Linked DNA regions of Nothobranchius furzeri. The protein of the gene in region 1 purifies or fractionates together with the protein of each later gene. This does not show direct contact. Links are inferred from orthologs where the notes say so. Each region holds a gene or a part of one and is shown in the gene's direction. Other genes may lie near its edges.

Region 1 (7,271 bases):
GCAGCACGTTACTGCAGCAGCACGTCTTGCTCGCGTAAGCTGCTGCTTGGCCCTTCCCACGAGACGCGAAGCAGCAGGGGAGCAGCTGTCACCGACAGAGCATGAAGTCACACGAGTGACTTCGTCAGTAAACACAACAGCACGGAAACAGAGCGAAGCTCCCGAGATTTTCAGAATAAAGAACGTACTGCCTTCCGGTTGCTTTACTTTTAAAAAAGGTTACTGACTGTGCGGCCCCGTGAGAAGTTATCACCTAGCTAGCGGTCTCCTTTGTTTTTCAGGTCCGTATTGGCAATTATAAAACGGACAGAACATAAAACACAAACATTTTGGAGCCATGTTGTAGTTTTTTTCCTGCTTGTTGTTGTGTTTACTGACGAAGTCACTCGTGTGACTTCGTGCTCGGTCGGTGACAGCTGCTCCCCTGCTGCTTCGCGTCTCGTGGGAAGGGCCAAGCAGCAGCTTACGCGAGCAAGACGTGCTGCTGCAGTAACGTGCTGCTGACGGCTCCGGTGGAAAGACGGGGTGAGCCTCACACATCCTGGCACTCAGCCCTTCCACTTTACAGGAAGTGAAAGCAGCTTGAGGTGTTTTCTAAGGACTGGAAGCTTCTAGGTGTATAAATAATGCAACCTTCAGCTCCAGTGTTAAATAAAAAAATAAAACTTCCATTAAAATGGATTGGAAGTCTGAAGCCCCGCCCAGTGGTCTGATATAGGAGTCCCCCGGGAATTCACTTCACACACTCGTGTGTTTCTTCACTACTTTGTTTTATTTAGCATTATAGAAGGTGAGGTCATCTTAACCTCTTCTCCGTTATCATCATCAAACCACGTTCTCCGGACGGAGCATCAGGATTAGTGCCTTCATCAGAAACCTATACATGTCTACTGCCCCCTGGTGGAGGACCTACAGGGGGCGAGGGACAATTTTATGTCTTCATTTTTATTACATTGTCATGGAATTACATAAAAAATATATATTTATATAGTTTTTATAATTAAATGAGACAGTAAATTGTTCCGTTTTAAATACTAGATTGTTTAGTTACCACATGTTTCGTTGTTTTTTTTTTCAAAATGTTTATAATCAAAACATGAGGCGGATGTTAAAGTTGTAAAACAAATGTTGCAATGGTTGTTTTAAACTAAATCTTTAGCTGATGTGAATTTCAGCCTACCAAAATGGAGTTGACGAGATCCGCTCATTAAATTCGACTTTCCGCAGCTTCCAACGTTTGAGCTAATTTGATGCATCAGATGATGTCGTCAAAGTTTGCTCTCTGGTGTTTAAACTTTGGGATTAAAAAAAAACCATTTAATAAAATTATTTTTCTTTCAACCACCAAATGAATCTGTTACTGCAGGGCGTGGAGGTCATCATCAACGCCAGCAGTCTGGAGGACATCGACCCAATGGCCATCGGGCAGCGGCTGGTCAATGGGACGGTGGCGGTGGCGAGCCCGGTTCTGAGTCGCCTGAAAACCAGAGACGAAGAAAACGCGGATGTGGTACAACACACACAAAAAGGCCGACTTGTTCAAATAAACTGGGTTTAATTCAATCTAAACTGCATTTTTTATACAATTGTGTGGATTTTTGAGCCTTCGCAGATCACCTGAGCCCATCGTGTAACTCACCTGTAAAGCAGATTTATTTTCTTTGTTTATAAGTAAAGAAAGCTGACCTTTCTCCGTATGACTTTTGTTTCAGGGCACTGTATACCAGAAGACTAATGCAGAGGTGGAGATGAAGAAAATCAATAGAGAGGAGTTTTGGGAGCAGGCCAAGGTACGTGTGGATCAAAACAGAGAAAAGAAGAAGAAGAAAGGAAAAAGTGCCACATTATCTTAGAATCAGCTTCTTCCTGTTTGCTCTGCAGCGTGAAGAGGAGCTGAGGAAGGAGGAGGAGAAGAAGAAGGCTGCAGAAGAGCAGCAGCGCTATGAGGAGGAGCGAATGGAGCTGGAGAAGAAGGAGCAGGAGAACCGAGAGAGGAGGTACCGCGAGAGGGAGCGGCAGATCGAGGAGCACAGGTGGGCATCCAGCCAATGAACTGTTTATGTGAAGAGGATTTGTGAGGGACCTTCTGCACATTTTAGAAACAGAATATGCTTTTGTGAAATGCGACCAAACAGAAATACAAGTGTATTGTAAAGCAAACATCTGGACACAAACACTGGTTCCTATAAGCTAAACACAGCTGGAAGAACTGCCCAAACTGGACTTTCTCATCACTGAACACTTTAACAAAAGAACTTGAGGATGAACCCATGAAAGGTTGTTCCTGATTATTTGAGATAAAATGATCAAAGACACCTTGGTTCTGACTCCAAATGTAAAGCACAGAGGTGGTTCTGTCATGGTTTGGGTCAGATCTAGCAGGTTTTCTTGCCTTTTAGGTGGCGTGTGGGTTTGGGATCCTTTAGGTCCGTCCCATTTTACTCAATGTTTCTTTGCTTTTGTTATCAAGTCGGGTACAGGTTTACAAAGTCATCGTACCAACATCGTTTGTTTTTGTGTTTTTGAGAAAAGAAAAGTCAGCATTTTGAAGGGCTTTCCCATTTTCTATGAGTATACTGAACATTAAAGTGAGAGGAAGAGTTAATAACCACTGGAAATGGGACTCAGCCTCAGATGTCCTCTCACTATCACAGCGTTTAAACATCAAAAATCTCTGGTGGATCCACAAGTAAAGGTTTTAACCTCCACATTGTTCTCATAGAGCTGGATCAGGTCCTCCTGTCCAGAACTGCTTATTTCTACTCCAACATATACTTCTGGGCTTTGCTGCCAAACAGCAACCACCTGTTCTGGAAAATGTTGAATATCTGAAACGTTTCTCCACCCCTTTAACGAGATTTCCTCCCAATCCAGCTGTGCTTTACCTATATGCTGCCCTCTAGTGTGGATATCAGTTCTGCAGTTGTCTTGTTTCATTTATTTTTCCAGCTGTGGCCTTTCTCCATAATAACATAAACATTTAATACATAATTGTTGTAAACAGGAAGAAGATGCAGGAAGAGGAGGAAGCCAGAGAGAGGTTGCGGAACCAGATCATCATAGTGAGTTTTTATTCCAACATTTGTGTCCTAATCAATTATTTCCATACTTCATGGTCGTAAGCAAGCACTTTAGAAATATTTCATTCTTGTTGATAGAATTTAGTCACAATATGGAGTCCAATCAGAGCCAAAATGTTTCCTTTTTCCAAAAACAAAATAGTAAAAAAAAGGATTTAGATTAAGGTTCAGTTTCACTTTTATTTACTTGTTTTTTTTTTATTAGGAATTTGAAGTAATCAACATGAGTAAATGGTTTTTAATTTCACAACAAGTTAGATGTGTTACTGGTTAATCAAAGCAGTTTTTTTCTGAACACTATCTAAAATTAAAGTGTAAAAAAAAACAAGGTTTCAAGTTTAAATTAATTAAAATTAAAAACATAAAACCAGAAAATGATCTACTAAATTGACTAAATGTATATAATAATACTGATGAAACCTTCATATTCAAATGTAGTACTAGCAGATTCTAAATGGTACTTATAACAGTCTTAGTATTTCATTCATGTATTTTTATTTATTTGTTTTTTTTTTACAATCAAACGCTACTTTAAGAAAATTATTAAACCAATAATTATTCTGACCCTAATTTAGCTCCATACTTTAGTGTTACCAAATATTTTTCCTCATTATCTGTGTCTGGACTTTTAAAACAAAACTCTAAACTAAGAATCCCTTTGGTTTATTTTATTTTTTATTTTTTTACTCATAAGAATGTTAGCCTCTCCTGCCCCCTGCTGGCTGCAGAGTAAATAAAACTCAGTTGGGCCTTTTTTCGTTCTCACTGCAGTTTTTCTCTTTAGGCATCTGAACCGAGCATCGAGGAGCTTCACCTGGACAAGAAGGAGTCAGAGGTGGAGGTCAGTTTGATGAAGAATTTTTCAAAAATGATCTCGTTCCTGAAGAAGCCCAATAGCTGTGACGTGGTTTAAATGTGTGGATTAATGAAAACAAAAAGGAAATGTTTATGATAAGTAATCATGAGAATAACTGTCCTGTCCAATAGTCCATGTTGCAGGTTCATTGTTAAGTGTAGTTTATTGGATTAGATTAGTTGGCTGCATCCTGAACCTGATTTATTCTGATTTTTTAGGAAGCAAAGGCCATCATTGCTCAGCGGTCGGGAAATCCTCGAGAGTTTTTTAAACAGAAGGAGAGAGCTATGACCATCAGCATCGACGCCTCGCCCGTCTCCATCCACAGGACCGGTAAACAAACCAAACCAGAACGAGAGTTTCTGTTCCCACAGTCCAGGAACAGGGACTGACGTTTGTTCCTCCTGACAGTTTCAGTCATTGGATAAAGCAGGCTCAATCAGAGATTCCTCTCGTTTTATCTGTTGGTTTAATGTTTTGATTGAACGAAACATCTCAGGGGATAAAGGATCCAGACACACGCATCACTGCCTCTACACCTCCTTCAGCTGCTGCTTCTGCAGAACTTCATTATTTCTGAGATTCCTATAAATATTTAATCAGCTGAAAGGATTTTCTCACCCGTAACCACTGCGTGAGGAAGGCAGCGCTGTGACACCAGCTGTTCTCACAGCTTTTGATGCTCATTTTAATTCAGATTTTAATATTCCTGCATGTTGTTTGTCTGCAGCGCTTTGGTGTTTGTCACTCAGTCCTCCAGAACACAAGAACATTTAGACCAAAATAAACAAACAAATGCTTATAGAACAGACCAAACCGTCTTTGACCTCCTGCAGCCGCCTGGCATCGTTTGGCCAGTCAGAGGTTCAGACTCATACATCCAGAAGATGGTCTGAGGTGTGGAGAGCTGTGCTGCTGGGCTGAAAGCCTTCTGCTTCCTCAGATTGTTGTCTGTGGTGACGTTATTCACATTTTTCCATTTTTTAATTTTAACTTCAGAGACAACTGGAGCATTTAAAAATTCTAATCCAGCGTTATCAGGGTATCCGCAGGTCCTTGAAAAGTCTTAAATTTGCTTTTCCAAATTTAAGGCCTTAAAAATCCTTAAAAATTACAAATGATGCTTAAATACAGTTTTCAAAGGTCTTAAATTACCAAAGACCCAATAAACAAGATTTTTTTATTTCTATAAAATTTTCCTGAAATTCTAGTTAGTGTTCAGCATTTTTGTGTACGATGTAGGCGTAAGTGGAGCCGTACACATTCAGTTGGTTGTGAAAGGGGGCTGTTTTTAGATGAGCACATAGCTGGTTAAGCTAGTGGGAGCTAGGGCTGCTCGATTATGGCAAAAACAATAATCACGATTATTATGACTGTAAATGAGATCTCGATTATTTAGGACGATTTTTCAATTTATGTTGATTTTATTTGTTTTTATTCAGTCATAAAATTGCTCAGGGCACAATCAGGACAAAAAGAAATAAGAAACAAAATGATCACTAAAATAACTCCTGATTCCCAGTATAAAAAGACCAATATACTTATAGCTCATAGTCTACGACCCAAGGGCTATAGACCTTGGTTGAACTCATTTAAGTCTAACCAGTACAGACCCAAATACCAATATCTTGCAAATACTGACGGCAAGAATTATACAGTGGCATTTATAACAAATAAATGCAAATAAATTGATGTTCACATCAACATCAATTTTGCGTAACATTTATTTAGTCGTGTCAAGGTGCTGTAGGAGAGTGCACTAGCACCGTGTCCTCAGAGGGATTAGTTATCAGCGTGAGGAACTTATTTCTACCTTATTTACAAACAATTTACAAGTCCATCAGTTAATGTAATAATTGTCCCAACCACAGCTGTACCCCCCACCCCCCACCTCGGTCTCACAGCAATCAGTGGCAAGCTGCACGTGTGTTTAGCGCGCCGCACGCGCACATTTAGCCCTTTTTAGTGGCTCAGGAGTCCACAGGTGCGGTGTGTGTCACTCACTCTGGTTAATCCAACAGGGCTCTGAGAGCCGTTTCTTTAGCGACTGACACATCACTACATCATTCCCTTTCCTAATGTCCTGATGAACTGTCCGGAGCGCAGGCGGAGTGTTAAGCTAACCTGCAGGAAATGTCGACGACAGTTATCCAGAAAGTAGCTAAGGGTTACCAGAGATGTTTCTGAGGTGTTCACTAGGTATTTTTAAGATTTAAAAAGTCAAGAAGGGGGTCTGAGAAGCTGTTAGAAATAGCGTCAAAGTCGCCAAGTTGGCAACACTGTGGGAGGAGCGCTTCATTTGCAACTCAGGGCAGCGCAAGTGGGAGGAGCAAATTATCGGCTTGTTTTGTTTTTATAATGGTTCAAAACTCAGATCGTAATCGTGATTAAAATTCGATTAATTGAGCAGCCCTAGTGGGAGCTTGCGCCATGGGGAAGTGCAAGTTTAATGGTAACTGATCCCACGTTCGCGACGTGGTTAGCACCGGTTCCAGGCAATAGCTGGAAATTATAGCTTAAATTTAATTTTAAATAATGGTTTAAATTTGGTCAAAGTGGCCTTAAAAAAGGTCTTAAAAAGTCTTAAATTTGGCTCCCTTAAACCTGCAGATACCCTGTTTATTTATAAAGAATTCAAAGATGTTCATAAATGAATTAAACCAAACAAATAAAAATAAAAGTCTAACCTTTGAGAGCTTCATGATTATAAAAGACTCAAATTCAAATATTTCTAAACTCAGCACAAAAGTAATAAAATGTAATGTTCAGTTTGGTGTTAGCCTGCCAATGCTTCATGCAGATCCTATTCTGAGTATTTTCCCGTAAATGGAGCCACATTTGAAAGAAACACATTTGTTGATGACGTTTATTCCACCGGATGATTCAAATCTGAAAAAATTAAAACAATGATGGTCACAATCTTTGCATCTGCTCCCTTTGCTGACCACCATCTTACCTTTTATGACCAGAAATAAATCAGCACAATCTGACTTCTAGACAGAATCTCGTCTTGTTTCTTCTAGTCTGAAAAACTAAACCAAACTAAAGTCAACAAAGAGCCAATGGACCCAGTATCCTTTCTTTTTGTTAATATCCCATATTTAAGTTGATGACTTAGATTGCAGGTAAAATGTTTCACCAGCAGGTGGTCCACTTATATTTAAACTAGGGGTGGGACTTGTTAAAAAAATTAATCTAGTTAATTAGAGGCTTTGTAATTAATTAAGCTTGATTAATCGCTTTGTAATTGTTCAAGAAACGGTGCCTAAAAATGTTTTTTTTTAATTAAAAATAATGAGGCAGGGACTTAAACAATATACATAGGTGTTATTATT
Region 2 (7,371 bases), on another chromosome or scaffold:
AGGTGTGTCTGACTATTGGCAAACTGCCTTGCGGACCAAGGTTGAAAAATACTGCATTAAATTGCACATAAAATAACATGACCATAAATGGTAAATAGGCAATGCAAGAGGCAAGTAACAAAAACATTTTGTTTAATTTCAACATTTGAGTGAACACGAAAAATTATGAGCAGGTCAGTGTTACAGTAATGGTAGTAAACACTACTTAGACAAAATGCCAGAAATTTACACTGTTAGGACTTATGGAAAGTGGAAACACTTTCATAGGAAATAATGTCATCAGTATCCTCTTACAAATGTCATATTTCCCACTTCCCAAGCTGGGAAATTTGTTTGCTGCAGCAGAAGTGTAACAAGTAAAATGGAATCAGATTGATGTATGTACAAATTTACTTGAAATACACATTTACATGATTAAATTTGTATAATAGGTATGTGTGTTGAAATTAGTTTTTACAGTTATTGCACATTAAACAATGTACATGTTATTAAACAAATGTCCCGGTTTGTGGGACAACCAAGGATTTCTGATTCTGATTGTCTTGTTTACAGAAATGTAATGTACAGCTTACCTCTGCACCCAGCTGCTGTTCTCCCTGTCCAAACGTCCTCCATTTCTTTGTTGGCTGCTGCACTGATGCGCTGCATTCCTCAGTCAGAGAATGAATGGAGTCCCCAATGAGACACAAGTTCCACATCCACCTTCTGTGGATCCCAGCCGTTTTGAATAACAAACACAGAAAGCAAAATAACGCATTAGCGTGATTGCATCCAGCTAGCCACTGCTTCCTGGTGTACCAATTTTGGGAGAAGCGTCGTGTATACAGTTTACCCTTCTCCTTCTCCTGCTGGCTTATCTTTACGTCGGGCTGATCTGGTCCAAGCTCTTTGACATTAAGTTTTTCCACCATAGTTCTCCTCTCGAACGGATACTGGAGGAGACCGAACTGAATTCAGTGGCTGCTGAGATCCGGTATCCATGTTGTAGGCGCACTGGCGTCCATGTCTACGTCTGCGTCACGACCGTCAAAACGTGCTGGAGTCGAGACTCTCCAAGTTCTACCGAACATCAACGAAAGCCTTGGCGGTAGCTCTATCGCCCATCATGCTTCTGAAACGTTCTGAAACAACGTCGACGCTGATTGGATACATTCCCATTCCTACCCTTTGATTTTCTTGTCAGCAATTGGACAACTGGTCTCATCCTGTTTGGGCGATTGAAAAACAGCACACAGCCTCCACCACTCGGCAGAGACCGGCAGAGATCGGCAGAGATCGGCAGAGACCGGCAGAGACCAATATAGATATACATATATGATTTATTTTTGTTACAAAACACACAATTAACTTAGAATATGTGATTATTGTTAATTTTATTTATTTATTTTTTAAAATAAAAATTAAAAACACAGGGGAAACTGGGAGGGCGGCGCCCTATCGCCCTCTACTGGCCAGCCGCCACTGCATACCTCTAAGACCAAATTTTAGGGTGCTCCACATTGTGTTAACCAGCAAAATGTCCCCACAATGTAAAAATGTCCACACACCAGTGGCGGTTTTACCATTAGGCATATGTCGGCGGCCGCATGGGGCCCCCTTATGTTGGGGGGGGCCCCTAGCCCTGACTGCTGGCACCCCTCTGTTAATGCCACAATGAACTATTGCTTTAGGATGCCGATTCACAAACTGGAAGTGATTGGTAGTCATTCCACTCCAATCCAGTTGGTGGCAGTAATGCACCAAATTGTTGTTTGCCAAGTGCTGTAAGACCACAAATAAGAAGATGAAGAGAAAGCAGAAAAAGAAGAAGAGAGACGGGAGCGTTCGTAACAAACTCAAAGCGATAGTCAAAACATTAAACATGAAAAGGAGTTATCCTATAGTGGCTCCAGTAAGAGAAAGAAACAGCATGCTTTAAAAAAGCTTTTATATTCACTTCCAAAAGTGACATCATTTTTCAATGTAAACATAAAAAGGAAGCAGAAAAGGAAAGACAATGGAAAATATTTAAAGGGAGAAAAACATAGACCAAAATGGAAAATAGAAATAAAAAGAAAGGCAAAAGCACAGGAGCACTGACAGGAAGAAGAAAGCAGAGCAAATATTGAAGGCGCTCAAAGGGAGAGAAAGACAGGGAAAAAGAGGAGGACTAATAAAAAGTGAAAATAACTCATGTCAGAAGAGGGTGGAGTTTCGCAAATCCAGTTAAAGATAAGATTGTCGAAAATTTAGTGTAAGGGGCCCATGTCTGTGTTCGCATTGGGTCCCCAAATTGCTAAATCTGCCAGGTTAAAGTTAAAATTTATCCACTTAAACCCATGAATTCAAGCACACACACACACACACACACACACACACACACAAAAGCACCACGGAGGGAGGGTTGGTGTGTGTTTAGGGAGTGTCCCGTCCCGTTACAGAGCCAGACTGCGGCTCTTCGCTCTGCTCTGCCGGCGACTCGAGACCTCTCTTCTCCTGCTGCAGCCCGGTCGTCTCCCCGCTGCTCGTCCAGGTCCACACCGGTCCGTCCACAGCCTCCACATTCAGGTAAAACCTGCATCTGCAGAAGGTTTACTCTTTAAATTGAACTGGAGATTAACCAAATCTGGATTTAACACCGCGTCTAGTCTGACGAGTCAACCTGGAAAAAAAAGAAAAAAAAAAACGTCCTGGCGGAATAAAACCCAAACCCAGAAAAGAAATGATCCGCACTGTTTTTCCCAATGTTATTATATTATTTTTTTGGAAGACAACTAAAAAAAAATTTCCTTTACCGGAAGTTTCCTAATATGGATAATCAGTGAGACGCGGCAACCAACTAACCAAATAAATAAATAAATAAACTAAGTCTAAAATAAATGTTAAAAACACCTAAAGAGTGCACACTGATAAATCACTCTACACATCCTCACATCCTATGGTTGTCATGGTTACAGCCAGCTGTTTTGAGGAAGTTGACATCCTCTGAGTCAAACGATGAGCTGTTGTTTCTGTTTCCACAAATGGCATCAGACATTTCTGCTTTAAGTGTAGCCATGTCAGTACTGTCAGAAAAATACAATCCCTAAAAATCTGACCTCCTCCCTTGCAGGTTTTACTTCTCTGCAGACCCATGCACCCATGTGTGAGCGTTTATCTGCAGAACTTTTTTCATAATTATGGCCCACTTCAGCTAGTTTCCAGTAGCTGTTGAAAACCAATGACTTTTGATGGCAGGTGATCTTTTTTGCATGTTTGCAGAATACCTCATGCACCACAGGACAGACTTAAACTACACTCTCAAAGGTGACCTTTACCAAATACCTACTACAAAATAACGTTTAGACTCTTCCTAATTCAAGATGGCCACTGCAGCAAACACAAAAATGGCTTCAACCCAGTGAAACAAGCTGACAGTTAATCCAACTTTCACAAACCTCACATGATCTAAGTATTTTTTGTTTTGTTTTGATTTTGTGCAGCTGATGTTTGGCATTGCAGCTTATTTTAAAAATGCACCAAATTTCTTTCAAATTTAAATGATGGGCATACAGGCTATAGTTATTTGCTAATAAAGCACAAGCTGTGTCGGTTTCTTCTGAAAATCAGGGACATACATAACCAAATATTACAGATTTGCAGTAACTTATTACATCTTCACCAGAAATCCAGCAGCATGATTCTAGCCTAGTAAAAAAAAAACACCACACCCCTTTACATATATATATATATATATATATATATATATATATATATATATATATATATATATATATATACATGGTTAACGGTCAGCTGCCTGGACGTAAAGACAGCTCTCCACTGACTGCAGGTACTTTTGCTAAGCTGAGATCTGTGTTTCTATGCTTTGTTTTATTATTTCAGTCAAAAGAAGAAGTTAGAAACTGCCTTCTCATTCTCAGAGCTGTTTACAGCTACATGATTCCCAAAAGGCCCCTCTGTGATTTCAGAGAGGTTGTTTGTATTGTCTTAAATTCTCATTTTAATTGGGTAAACAGATTTCAAGTGAGCGGTTTGTTTATTCCACGCAGAGAATTGTCTGATATGTCCCAGTCAAGCTGAGACAAGAGACTCAGCGTGGCATGCATGGAGAAAATGAGTCATCAGAAAGCCCTCTGCTTCTAAAGGAGGTGGTGGGGGAAGGAAACAGAGCAAACACGCTGTTTAAGCCCTCATATCCAGATTTTACATTCATGTTAGATTTTTTTTTCTGAATTGATGCAGAAGAATGCCTAACATTTATTTTCCTGACTTATAAATCTGCATTTGCTGCACAGTGAATTGATTTTGCAGAGGCCTCGCCGGGAGGGAGGCAGACAACAGAGGCTGGTGAAACATGGGGGATGGGACCAAAAATGTGAAGTTCGAGAAGCATGTTGTGTTTGTCAGCTGAGGAAAGAGGTGGCGAGTGGGCCTGTAGATGCACAGTCAGGAGAAGAGAGCCGCAGGGCTGCAGACATACTACCTCTGACAGATAATCATGTGATCTGATCTATTTATGCCTGCAACAACATGGTTTCTGATCCAAACAAACAGGCTCTTCTTCACTCAAGTTACCCAATCCGGAGCTATGTACAGGGTATTTTATTTGCATCTTCGCTTGTGAGAGGTTTTGATGCTATTCTGATGTTTCAGAATGCATGTTTTACCTTCAGGGCTGTAATTTCAAACTAACCTTAACATGTTTGACGTTCACCAGGCTCTGAGATGAAGCTTATAAACTGTTCTAAATTAACAAAAATGAAGTAAATGTTATTGATTTATTTGCTGCTGCTTGGTTACACAGAGCTGTTTTAGTATCTCATAATTATGGTTCAGGGTCTTTTGATCTTTAGCTTTTAAGAGGATCCAGCTGCCCGACTTAGGAGCTTTTGGAATATTTTATTTTATGGAAAGGTTTGTCGACATTTGTATAATGTTAGGTTTGCCTTTCACTAAAGATAGTTTGGTTCAACTTTCCAGGTGGTTAGATTCTGAATCTGAGAATAACAACTTGCCTGGTAAAGTTTCAATGCAGCAAAAAAGAAATAAATTTAAAAAAAAAAAATATATATATATATATATATATTTTTTTTTTTTTTTTTTTTTAAGGAGCAATATGTCAGAATTCTACAGTCAAATAATCACAAAACAGTCTGAAGCCTAATTTATTCTTCATTTGCGTCGGGACAGAGATATGCCAACGCCATTATGCATTGACGCAAGAGCTCCAACGTGCTCGCAGAGATAAACGGAGAGATGCCCCAATTTCTAACTCACACCAATTCCTGTAAATGTGTCACCAGCACCATATTTGTCGCTTCAAAAGTCAAGAGATATTTAGTGGCAGTCACAGACAGATTGAAGAATGCCTGGTGGAAATAGTCTGAAACTATGAATGTTTATTCACCTGTGACTGAAGGAGCGCAAAGATATGCAGCTAGCATTTTTTTTTTGTGGACGGAAAAGCTGAAGAAGAAGTTTAAATTAGGCCTAATGTCTCATTCATGTTAGAAAGGTTATATTGAAACAGATTTCCTTCTACGCCAGCTATGGGATGTCAGTTTTCTCCTTAAAAAAACAAAAACAAAAGAAGGACATAGTTACTGTTTACAATCAATTTGCCTGTGAGGTTGTTGTCAAGTATGCGACGAGCTAATGCTGCTTTTCTGGCATTTGTGATTCAACACTGGCATGCAAAAAGCTCCAGAATTCTTCAACGAACTAAAGCCAGGAAACAGGAGCGACCCAGAAGTTATTTCTTGTACCTCTAAGAAGCCACTGCATCTTTTAGTTTTATTCTAATGTTGGGTAAAGAAGGCTAGAAGCTAACGTTAAGCTAACAACGCTAATGGTAATTTAAAGCAAAATGTTGGCTATAAAAATATCTGAAGCTACTTTTTTAATTACCAACTCGATATTACACTGAAATGTATGTGTGAAGTGAATAAAGAGTCAGTTAAAACGTCCAAGAGAGCTAACTCCAGCTAAAACAATGCTATCTACTTATCAACTTACTGTGTAAAGAGCTCCGGACCCCACGTGACTCTCAGTTAGTAGACGCCATATTGGCAGGCAAAAAAGGTAAACAAACACGGATCATAAACATGAACATGAACGGGATCGGCTTGGATTTTACTTCGTCGGAGTTTACTTCACACTTTAAAACCGAAGAAATCGTTTTATATAGTCAGAAATTAGATAGACTAAACATCTCTGACCCTTACGGTGCCCCTGGGATACTTTTAATAGCAATCCAAAGTGCTTTTATGTGTGATCTGACAATTGATCAACCATTGCTTGAAAATTAAATACAGCTTAGCCGGTTAATTGCTGTGATCATAAAACACGTAAACGGCAGCATGCAGAACTCAGAGACAGCGTTTTACGTGATGTTTACTTGTTACTATGAGTAATAAGACAGAAAAAGCCACGCCAAAATAAGTTTAGGAAGCCCACTAAGAAACGTAATAAAATCGTTTAAAATAAATACCATACACAGTTGAGGAAACATTGGTTTAAGTACCTGATATGAAGCCGTCGCTGCATAAGCAAAAACCTTTACTCTCGGGGTCCCACAGCTTCATTTCAGCCCGGTCACTAGTGTGTTTTATTACAATGATCCAACGTTTGCGGCGTTCCGGATCTTGGGGAATCCTGTAGATGGCTCATTCCTTATGTCGTCCGCATCTGTTCTGCATCCTGGGGCACAACAGGAATCTACCTTATTTCCCATTTGATTGAGTTTTCTGACATTAACAAATAGTCCAGCTACGGGCTTCTGCCTGCCAATATGGCACCGTTTCGATTTGAACTGTTGCATGCCGAGAGAAGTGACGTCAACTCCCGGAGCTCTATGGCTTGCCTTTGCTTATCTAGAATCTTCTGGTGCTGTTCCATAGCTGGCAACAGCCACAGCAGTGAGATAGTACCTTTTTGCTCAGAAAACTAGACAGCGGTAACCAAGTTTGACTACAGGATGTCATTCTTACAACTTGCACCTTTAAGTTTGTGATAAGGAGTTACTACAAGTAAAGCAGCATAAGGAAACTCACTGTTGCATATAATGATGGGTTAAGGACAATGCTTAGAATTAGGGCTGGTTGATATGGCCTAAAATCAATATCACAATATATTGAGGAGTTCACCATGATGACGATAAATGGACGAGAACTACAGGTATGCGCAGAAACAAAAGTTGTCCACTAGATGGGGCTGTCACATGTATTACGCTGTGACACATTTTTACATGAGTCAAGGTGGTACAGCTTCTTAAAGTGGCATGAACGTTGCCAACCTTCACACATCTTTTCATTTTTCATCAAATTTATTGACATGGGAACAATGATCTCGATAAGAGTCAGAAATTTCGATAACGATACATTTTCAATT
Region 3 (7,277 bases), on another chromosome or scaffold:
CTTTTGGTTGAAGCTTTTTTTAATATGTTTCACACTAATACCTCTAATTCACTGTTAAGATATGAGTAGAAGTTTGTGTTTCATGTCACCGTTTGTTGTTTGCGTTATTAAAACAGTTACGTTAATAGTATTTTGGGTTGAGGTTTATTTTTATTTTAATAGAGCAAGTTTTATAACATATTGAAAATATCCTTAAAAAATCCTTGTATGCTTCATTTATAGTTACTTGCCAGTCTTAACTAAATCCGTTACAATATCATTTATTGATTCATGTGTTTCCGTGCATTTGTAATCAACCATTACACCTTTCTTAGGTTATGCATTCGATAATGTTATTTACAGCTCTGCATATGTTTTCTATCACACTTTTGCATACAAACATAGGAACCCCTCCACCACACTTAATCTTCTAATTGTTATGAACACATGTGTGACCATTTGACTAAAGGTTTCTGATGCTGCTGTGAATAGTCTAGTGAAATGTCTCAAGTCATTACAAACGTCTGCTGTTAATGTAAATACAAAATCTGCTGTTGAGCTGATCAAACTGCTCTTTGGTGTAGCAGCAGGTGTTGACAGAGTTAGAGAAGTTAGTGTTTGAATGTAGCTCATGTGCCATATCTTGTAGGTAGTGATCCGGATACTGTAATGTTTGTAGCTCCTCGTAGAAGTGTTCCTTTAATTCCAGAGTTGTATTGGTTATTGTGCTCTATTGATTTATGCATTGAAGAGTTTGATTTTGCCAGTGTGAATATTTATTACCTGATGAACCAGGTCAAGTGAGTGACTGGGACCTTTTCAGCTCGCCCATGCTACTACTAGAAGTTTGGGTTCTTCTAGTGAGCCCATTGAGTTTGATCAGTCCAGATGCTGTATTTTTTTCATCCTGATGTCTTTATCTCCTTATCTTCCACATCTTCTACCAGTTCCAGGATACTTTTCTGCTGCATCCCAACGGCAGAGATTGTGTGGACCAATAGTTTAGAGATTGCTGGATCTCTTCTTTTCTCTTGAAACTGTGCAAGTGAGTCATATTTCCCCGAATTTTAGATGTTAAATTGTGCAAAAACTCAGTGCAGAAACTATATTTTATCAAGTGCCTGTTTTCCAACCAAATTTAATATTTTTGTAGGAAATTAAACTATTTTACTGATTTAAATGATGTGTGTTTAACAGATTCACACATTCTTATCAAAGGAACTCAGACAAGTTGGAGAGCTCTACCCCGCTTTTAGATTTGATAGGCTACTTCTGTTTTAGGGGCGGCTGAAGTTCAGTTTAAAAGTGATATTTAAATGTTTGGTCCTACCTGGTGGATTTAATCGTTACTTTTTTACTGTTAACCAAAGCTAAATGTGGTCAAACCGGTAATTTTTGTGTTTTGTTTGTTACATTCTGCGCCCCTAAACAGACATTTACATCGGATCCACGTGTCAATTATAATATTATTATTTAAAGAGCAAGTCACCCCTTACAAGAAGTGAACTCCACTCCCACTTCATGTTTGAAAAATGCAACAAATGCTGTTGCCTAGCAGACCGAGAGGGTGGAGCCACTAACCAATACACACACTCACGACATTGTGACATCATAATGTACCAGTTTACATCATAGCATACCTCTTAGCCAATAGCGGTGGCAGATTTAAATTCAAATGCAGTGAAGAGTTTTTACCTGACAACGGCACAACACTGACCGTTTCAGGCAGAAAATTTAAATTTTAACTAAAATGCACTAACGTGTAAAACTATTGACTACACGTGTCTGCAGCACGATTAGACACACATTTATATAGTTTATCAGAAAAAAAAAGTTGATTTGGGGGGTGACTTGCTCTTTAAGTAGGCCCACATCACCGTGTCCGATAATGCACGCCGCGTCGCTTCATGACATCACGGGAGTGACCGGGCAGCCGCGCGTGCAGGGAGGAAGAGGAGGAGAATCTCTCTCCCAATAAGTTTACTTTGCCCTTTGCGGGAGATGAGATTCAGCTTTCACAAAACCACCAAGACGCTTCCAGGGACGGGGAGGAAACTGTGTGTGCTCGCTGAAATCTGCCGGATCTTTCCGCGGGTTATGGGCGGTTTGGAGTTGCAGAGTTTTATCTGATTCCCGGGATTGTGCGCCGGCGGCGGAGTTGACCACGCACCGCGGCTCCGAGGGAAGCCATATCTGGTCAAAGTATTCGCTGCTGTCACCCAGCCGGGCCGACTGTCTATTAATAGCGCCGGAAGAGGTACGTAAAATAATGTAGAATAAACCTCTATAGTCTGTGTGCAATAAAGCAGTCAAACATGTGCATGCTGACTTTGATGTTTTTGCATGGGGGACAAAGTTTCACGTAAGCCACACAGCTCAAACTGAATCTGTATTCCATATGATATCTCACTGCTCATTGAAAAACTATTGAGGAGTTTATTTTTCCCACCATCGTGCAAATCTGCGTGGCTTCAGATCTAGTTTATTCAGCATCTCTCCTGAATCATAGCTGCTTGATGTTTCATCTAAAAGACATGTGGACACCTCTTTGTATAATTTTGGCCTGTCAGACCAATTGGCGTGACCTTTAATAAAACAAGACAGATTTGACCCTTTAGAGGACTTCAGGTAAGAAAATCCCTTATTTCTCAAAATCCTTTACATCTAAATCGCTGCTGAAGCACAAATTAGCTCAATAACTATAAGAAATTTGTCTTTTTAATGATCTGGAAGAACTAGTGAAGGAGGTTTGTGCAAATCACTAAGTTCAAGTGTAATTTTAGGGCAAAGCAATTGGACGCAGTCTTCGCACTTACAGCAGAAACCCGTCACTGTCCTCCTGTGGTCCATGCATTAGGAAATGTGACAGTTGTCTTTCTGCTCTTTAGATTTTAAATTCTAGTTTATTAAAGGTGTAGAACACATTCATAATGACTCTTTCTGATTATAATTGGTCACTCAGGTTTTCATGCAGGCTGAACATGAAAATAACCTACACCTATCTCCGGCACTAGCTTCTGATAGAAAATAAATGGTGAAACTAGGATCTAAAAACCCTGACAGACCTACGTCACATTGTCACTTAACGTTGATGAACTCACCCATGCTCCTGACAAAGAAGGCTGTTGTTTTACGGTCCAGGAAACGGCAGAGAACTTCTCGACTAGTAGAAGCTAACTGTTAGCATTAGCAACTCCAACACACAGCAGAACTCCTCCATAAGATAAAACATCATTTCAAGTCAGTGGTAGAGTCGCGTTGCTGTTCTCCAATTTAAGGCGAGAAATGTCGGAAAATAAGACTCCAAAACCTGTCGTCTGAAGCTCAGCTGTGATGTGACTCACTTCTAGCTCCTGGAAAAAGAGCACCGTTGTTTTCTGTCCCCCAGATTACGACTTACAAGTGCTCCACTCCTTTAAGCAAGCGAAAAAGAGATTTTAGAGTTACGTTTATTTTCATATCAACCTCTTTATTTGACATGTCTTTATTTAGAGGGCTCCGTGGTTTAGAAAAAATGTTGGACTCAGGTCAGATTTTTTTGTCCGGTTGTAGGACATTTAGCAAAAAGGACATGTCATGAAGTCACTTCCTGCTCTGCTGTTCCAGCTGATTTATTGGCTGTTTAGCTTCTCTTGGAGAATTATGTTTTGGATCTCATATTTAAAAAATATGCAACTTGAAAGATTTACAGACCTGCATGCTGGCAAACACTCTGACTTAGAGGTAATAAATTTCACATCTTGAGATTCGTATTTGTCAGAGATCTTGTTTCAGCCAAGCTGCTCTGAGGGGATTTATGACCGGAGCAGGTTTGTTTTAGAGGGCAGAGGTCGATGCCTCTTTGGTGAATCTTCAAGTTTCTAGTTTCTTCCTCACAGATAAAGTTCTTGTTTATAACACAAACACAGGCAAAAGCGTCTGTTCATCATCACAAGCAGGTCAGCCTCTTCCAGTCTGTGATTTTGGACGTCAGCCCAGTTCTTAATCATACGTTTTGGAAACTTGATCTAAATGAGAGAACCAAATGAGATAAGTCTTGCTTGACTGAGCGTAATAAGAACATATTAAACACACACACACACAGATTTGCTCTGAGACATAATATAGATTAAAAAGATTTTAAAAAATAGCATTTAAGCTAACTGCTGTCAGGTGGACATCCATCAGTGGAGGCTAAACACACCAGACTGTTTGGTCATGGGGTAAATGTCCCCATGCCGCTGATGTAGCATCAGTCATCTAACCTCACAGAGACAAAACACTCTGAAGACAAAAGCAGACCTCCATTATGTCCTGAAAGCCATCTTAGAATAAACCATGTGATTATTATCATTATTGTTTAATTATGAGGTTTATTTTAAAGGTGTGGGGCACTCGTTTAATCAATTTGTTTCTGTTTCTGTTTATTCATTTGGCAGACGCTTTTATCCAAACCGGCGTACAATTTGTAACTCGTAGGGCATGTTGTGATCTGTAGGGAAAACCGGAGTACCTGGAGGAAACCCACGCATGCATGGGGAGAACATGCAACTCCACGCAGAAAGGCCACAGCAGAGTTTCGAACCTGCAACCTTCTTGCTGCAAGGCAACAATGCTAACAACTGTGCTACCATGCATTGTATTGGTCTTTAGTAGGAATGAAAGCCTTGTAATTCATACTTGGGGGAGGGGGGGGCAAAAACACTGGTGGGCCATTTCCAGGAGCTGGACGTGAGCCACATCTCAACCGCGCTTCAGTCGGCGGGTTTCGGAGTCTTATTTGCTGATATTTGAACATCTCGCCCTGGATTGGATAACAGCAACGCGACTCTAACGCTGACTTGCAACGTTGATGTTTTATCTCCAGAAATAACATGAGCCTGGAGGCGTTCTGCTGTGTGGGGGAGTTGCTAATGCTAATAGTTAGCTTCTACTAGTCGAGAAGTTCTCTGCTGTTTCCTGGATGTTAAACCAAAAACAGCCTTCCCCATCGCGAGTCAAGATGGATGAGTCCATGAATGTTAAGCGACAGTTTGACGTAGATCTGTTTCACTGTCTATTTTCTATCAGAAGCTAATGCAGGAGATAGGTGTAGGAGACTATTTTCATGTTCAGCCTGCATGAAAAACTCAGAGTGACCGATTATAATCAGAAATAAGTTTAAAAAAATGTTTTTTTTTCAGTGTTCCACACCTTTAAATTATCATTCACTTATTCTGTTTTCTATTTGTTTATTTCCAGCAGATCTTTTCAGGTCAGACCTGGAATCTAAAGTCTGATTGCCTTTGTCGCGTGTGTCCGGTTTGGGGGGTTATTAAGGTGAGACAGCTTTTTGACGTCTCCTGGCTCAATGTTATTTATTTTTGTTTTAACTCAAGCTGTCTCTTTCCAGGTGTGCTGTTCATAATGTCTGTATTAAAGAAGGAGATGGATAAGTACAGGGACATAGACGAGGACGAGCTGCTGAAGAAGCTCTCAGAAGAGGAGCTGCAGCGGTTAGAGGATGAATTAGAGGAGCTCGATCCTGATGTAAGTTTATGCTATTTCAGTCGATAAGGAGGAGATTACGGTGTTGGCCTACTGTGGAGGTGCAGAGTTACTATTACTGCAACTTCATATTTCCTGTTGGATTAGACGGTGGTGGTGTACTATTGGGTTGATTATGATGAGGGGCAGCAGTAGCTCAGGTGGTAGAGCGGGTTGCCTCATGATTGGAGGGTCATGGGCTTAATTCCAGCTCCTGCCAGGGGTATCCTGCTGTTGTGTTTTTGGGAAAGACACTTCACCAAATTTGCCTGTGTTGGTGGTGGTCAGAGGGGCCAACAGCGCCAAATGGCAGCGGCGCCTCTGTCAGACCGCTCCAGGACAGCAGTGGCTACTAAGTAGCTCACTATCAGTAGCAGTGTGTGAATGTGAGAGTGCATGAAAGCGTCTTTGAGTGTCCTAAAAAGCGCTGTATAAGTTTGATGTATTATTAATAATAATAATAATAATAATAAAGTCCTAAAAATTAATCAATAACAGCACATAATTATTTCCAAAAATAGCTTTAAGCTAAGACCTGATGTGTTAGTAGCTGAGTCGTTCACAACACACTAGTGGTGATAAATTACACAAGATCTTGCAATCTTAGGTGAAGTTGCACATTATTTTATTTTAATAACAATTAGTTCTTGATAAAAGATGATTTTTGGTTTGAAAGGTGGTTGGTGATGTGCATTCATTTAAAGGTGTCGGACACTCATTTAATCAATATATCATGACAGAGAGTGGCAGAAGACGGGAGGATTTGAAGTGTTTTTTCCTGATATTTGGACATCTCCCTCAGATTGGCCAACAGCAACGCTACTCTACCACTGACTCTGTTTGCTCTGTAACGTTGATATTTTATCTCTACAAATAACACAAGCTTGGAGCTGGAGGAGCTTCTGCCATGTGGTTGAGTTGCTAATGCGATGATTAGCTTCTGCTAGCCAAGATGTTCTCTGCTGTTTCCTGGATGCTTAAACAACAGCCTTCCCCGTTGCGAGCCAAGATGGGTGAGTCCATGAATGTTAAAGGGACTTTACAGAGTTTTGAATATTTATGCTTGCGGTTGCCCCCTCAGGCAAAAAGCGTAACGGCAGCTTCAATAGTAGGCTCGTGCACGAGGCGCGCATGCTGTACGTGCACACTCCTTAAGGAACATAACAGCTGACAGTCAGCTCCGTGTGTGTGTGTGGCCCGGAAGACAGAGGACAGGAGAACACGCAGCTAATTAATTAAATAATTTGGTTCTGTACCTTTCTCTTAAGCACAGCCAACAAAGGTTTAAGATGGGTCAGTCCATCAGCTTGACAGATCATTCCCTTCCGTTGCTTGAAAAATTGTTCCAAAATGAAAGTTGAACCCACATCTTTTTTATCTGTGAATTCAATGCCGTTCGACGAGTTTCAAATAACCATTTGGGCATCTTACTGTAAAAAAATACCATAAATGTAAAAAATAAACTCTAAATAAATTATGTTCACATCTAGATTTGAACCCTTATCTTCCGCACGGGAGTCCGTTGTCTTTCTAGGTGAGCTAAAGCACCAGTATTGTCTTTTATATCTGTAGCTCTTATATCCTTGATGACAGCTGAAACAACGTTCAAAGAACGGTTCGGAGCGAAAATGGCTATTTTGTTGCTAATTTGTAGGAAATATCTAGAAGAAAGTAGCTAAGGGTCCTCAGAAATGTAGCTAGGTTCGTCACTAGGTGTTAGGAATAGCGACAAAGTAGCTGAGTTGGCACTACTCTCTGCTGCTAAAGCTACGGATAGCAAATGCTACGGGCTA

What was found. Proteins that work in one complex are often made in the same cells at the same time.
Region 2: the proteins of dbn1 (region 1) and gelsolin purify together in Homo sapiens (co-immunoprecipitation; 3 studies listed by BioGRID and IntAct, counting the BioPlex papers as one, with this or other methods). This does not show direct contact. The link is inferred for Nothobranchius furzeri from reciprocal best matches to the Homo sapiens genes DBN1 and GSN.
Region 3: the proteins of dbn1 (region 1) and tmod1 purify together in Homo sapiens (co-immunoprecipitation; 3 studies listed by BioGRID and IntAct, with this or other methods). This does not show direct contact. The link is inferred for Nothobranchius furzeri from reciprocal best matches to the Homo sapiens genes DBN1 and TMOD1.

Annotation. Positions count from the first base shown.
Region 1 is NC_091750.1:71,043,542-71,050,812, forward strand, and holds part of dbn1 (drebrin), read left to right. Parts: intron 1-1,366; coding exon 1,367-1,510; intron 1,511-1,712; coding exon 1,713-1,790; intron 1,791-1,881; coding exon 1,882-2,033; intron 2,034-3,004; coding exon 3,005-3,062; intron 3,063-3,864; coding exon 3,865-3,921; intron 3,922-4,154; coding exon 4,155-4,269; intron 4,270-7,271. UniProt on the Homo sapiens protein: Actin cytoskeleton-organizing protein that plays a role in the formation of cell projections. Required for actin polymerization at immunological synapses (IS) and for the recruitment of the chemokine receptor CXCR4 to IS.
Region 2 is NC_091746.1:40,433,022-40,440,392, reverse strand, and holds the start of gelsolin, read left to right. Parts: upstream 1-2,390; 5' UTR 2,391-2,547; intron 2,548-7,371. UniProt on the Homo sapiens protein: Calcium-regulated, actin-modulating protein that binds to the plus (or barbed) ends of actin monomers or filaments, preventing monomer exchange (end-blocking or capping).
Region 3 is NC_091744.1:3,813,328-3,820,604, forward strand, and holds the start of tmod1 (tropomodulin-1), read left to right. Parts: upstream 1-1,887; 5' UTR 1,888-2,236; intron 2,237-5,199; exon of another isoform or gene 5,200-5,202; 5' UTR 5,203-5,277; intron 5,278-5,350; 5' UTR 5,351-5,364; coding exon 5,365-5,487; intron 5,488-7,277. UniProt on the Homo sapiens protein: Blocks the elongation and depolymerization of the actin filaments at the pointed end. The Tmod/TM complex contributes to the formation of the short actin protofilament, which in turn defines the geometry of the membrane skeleton.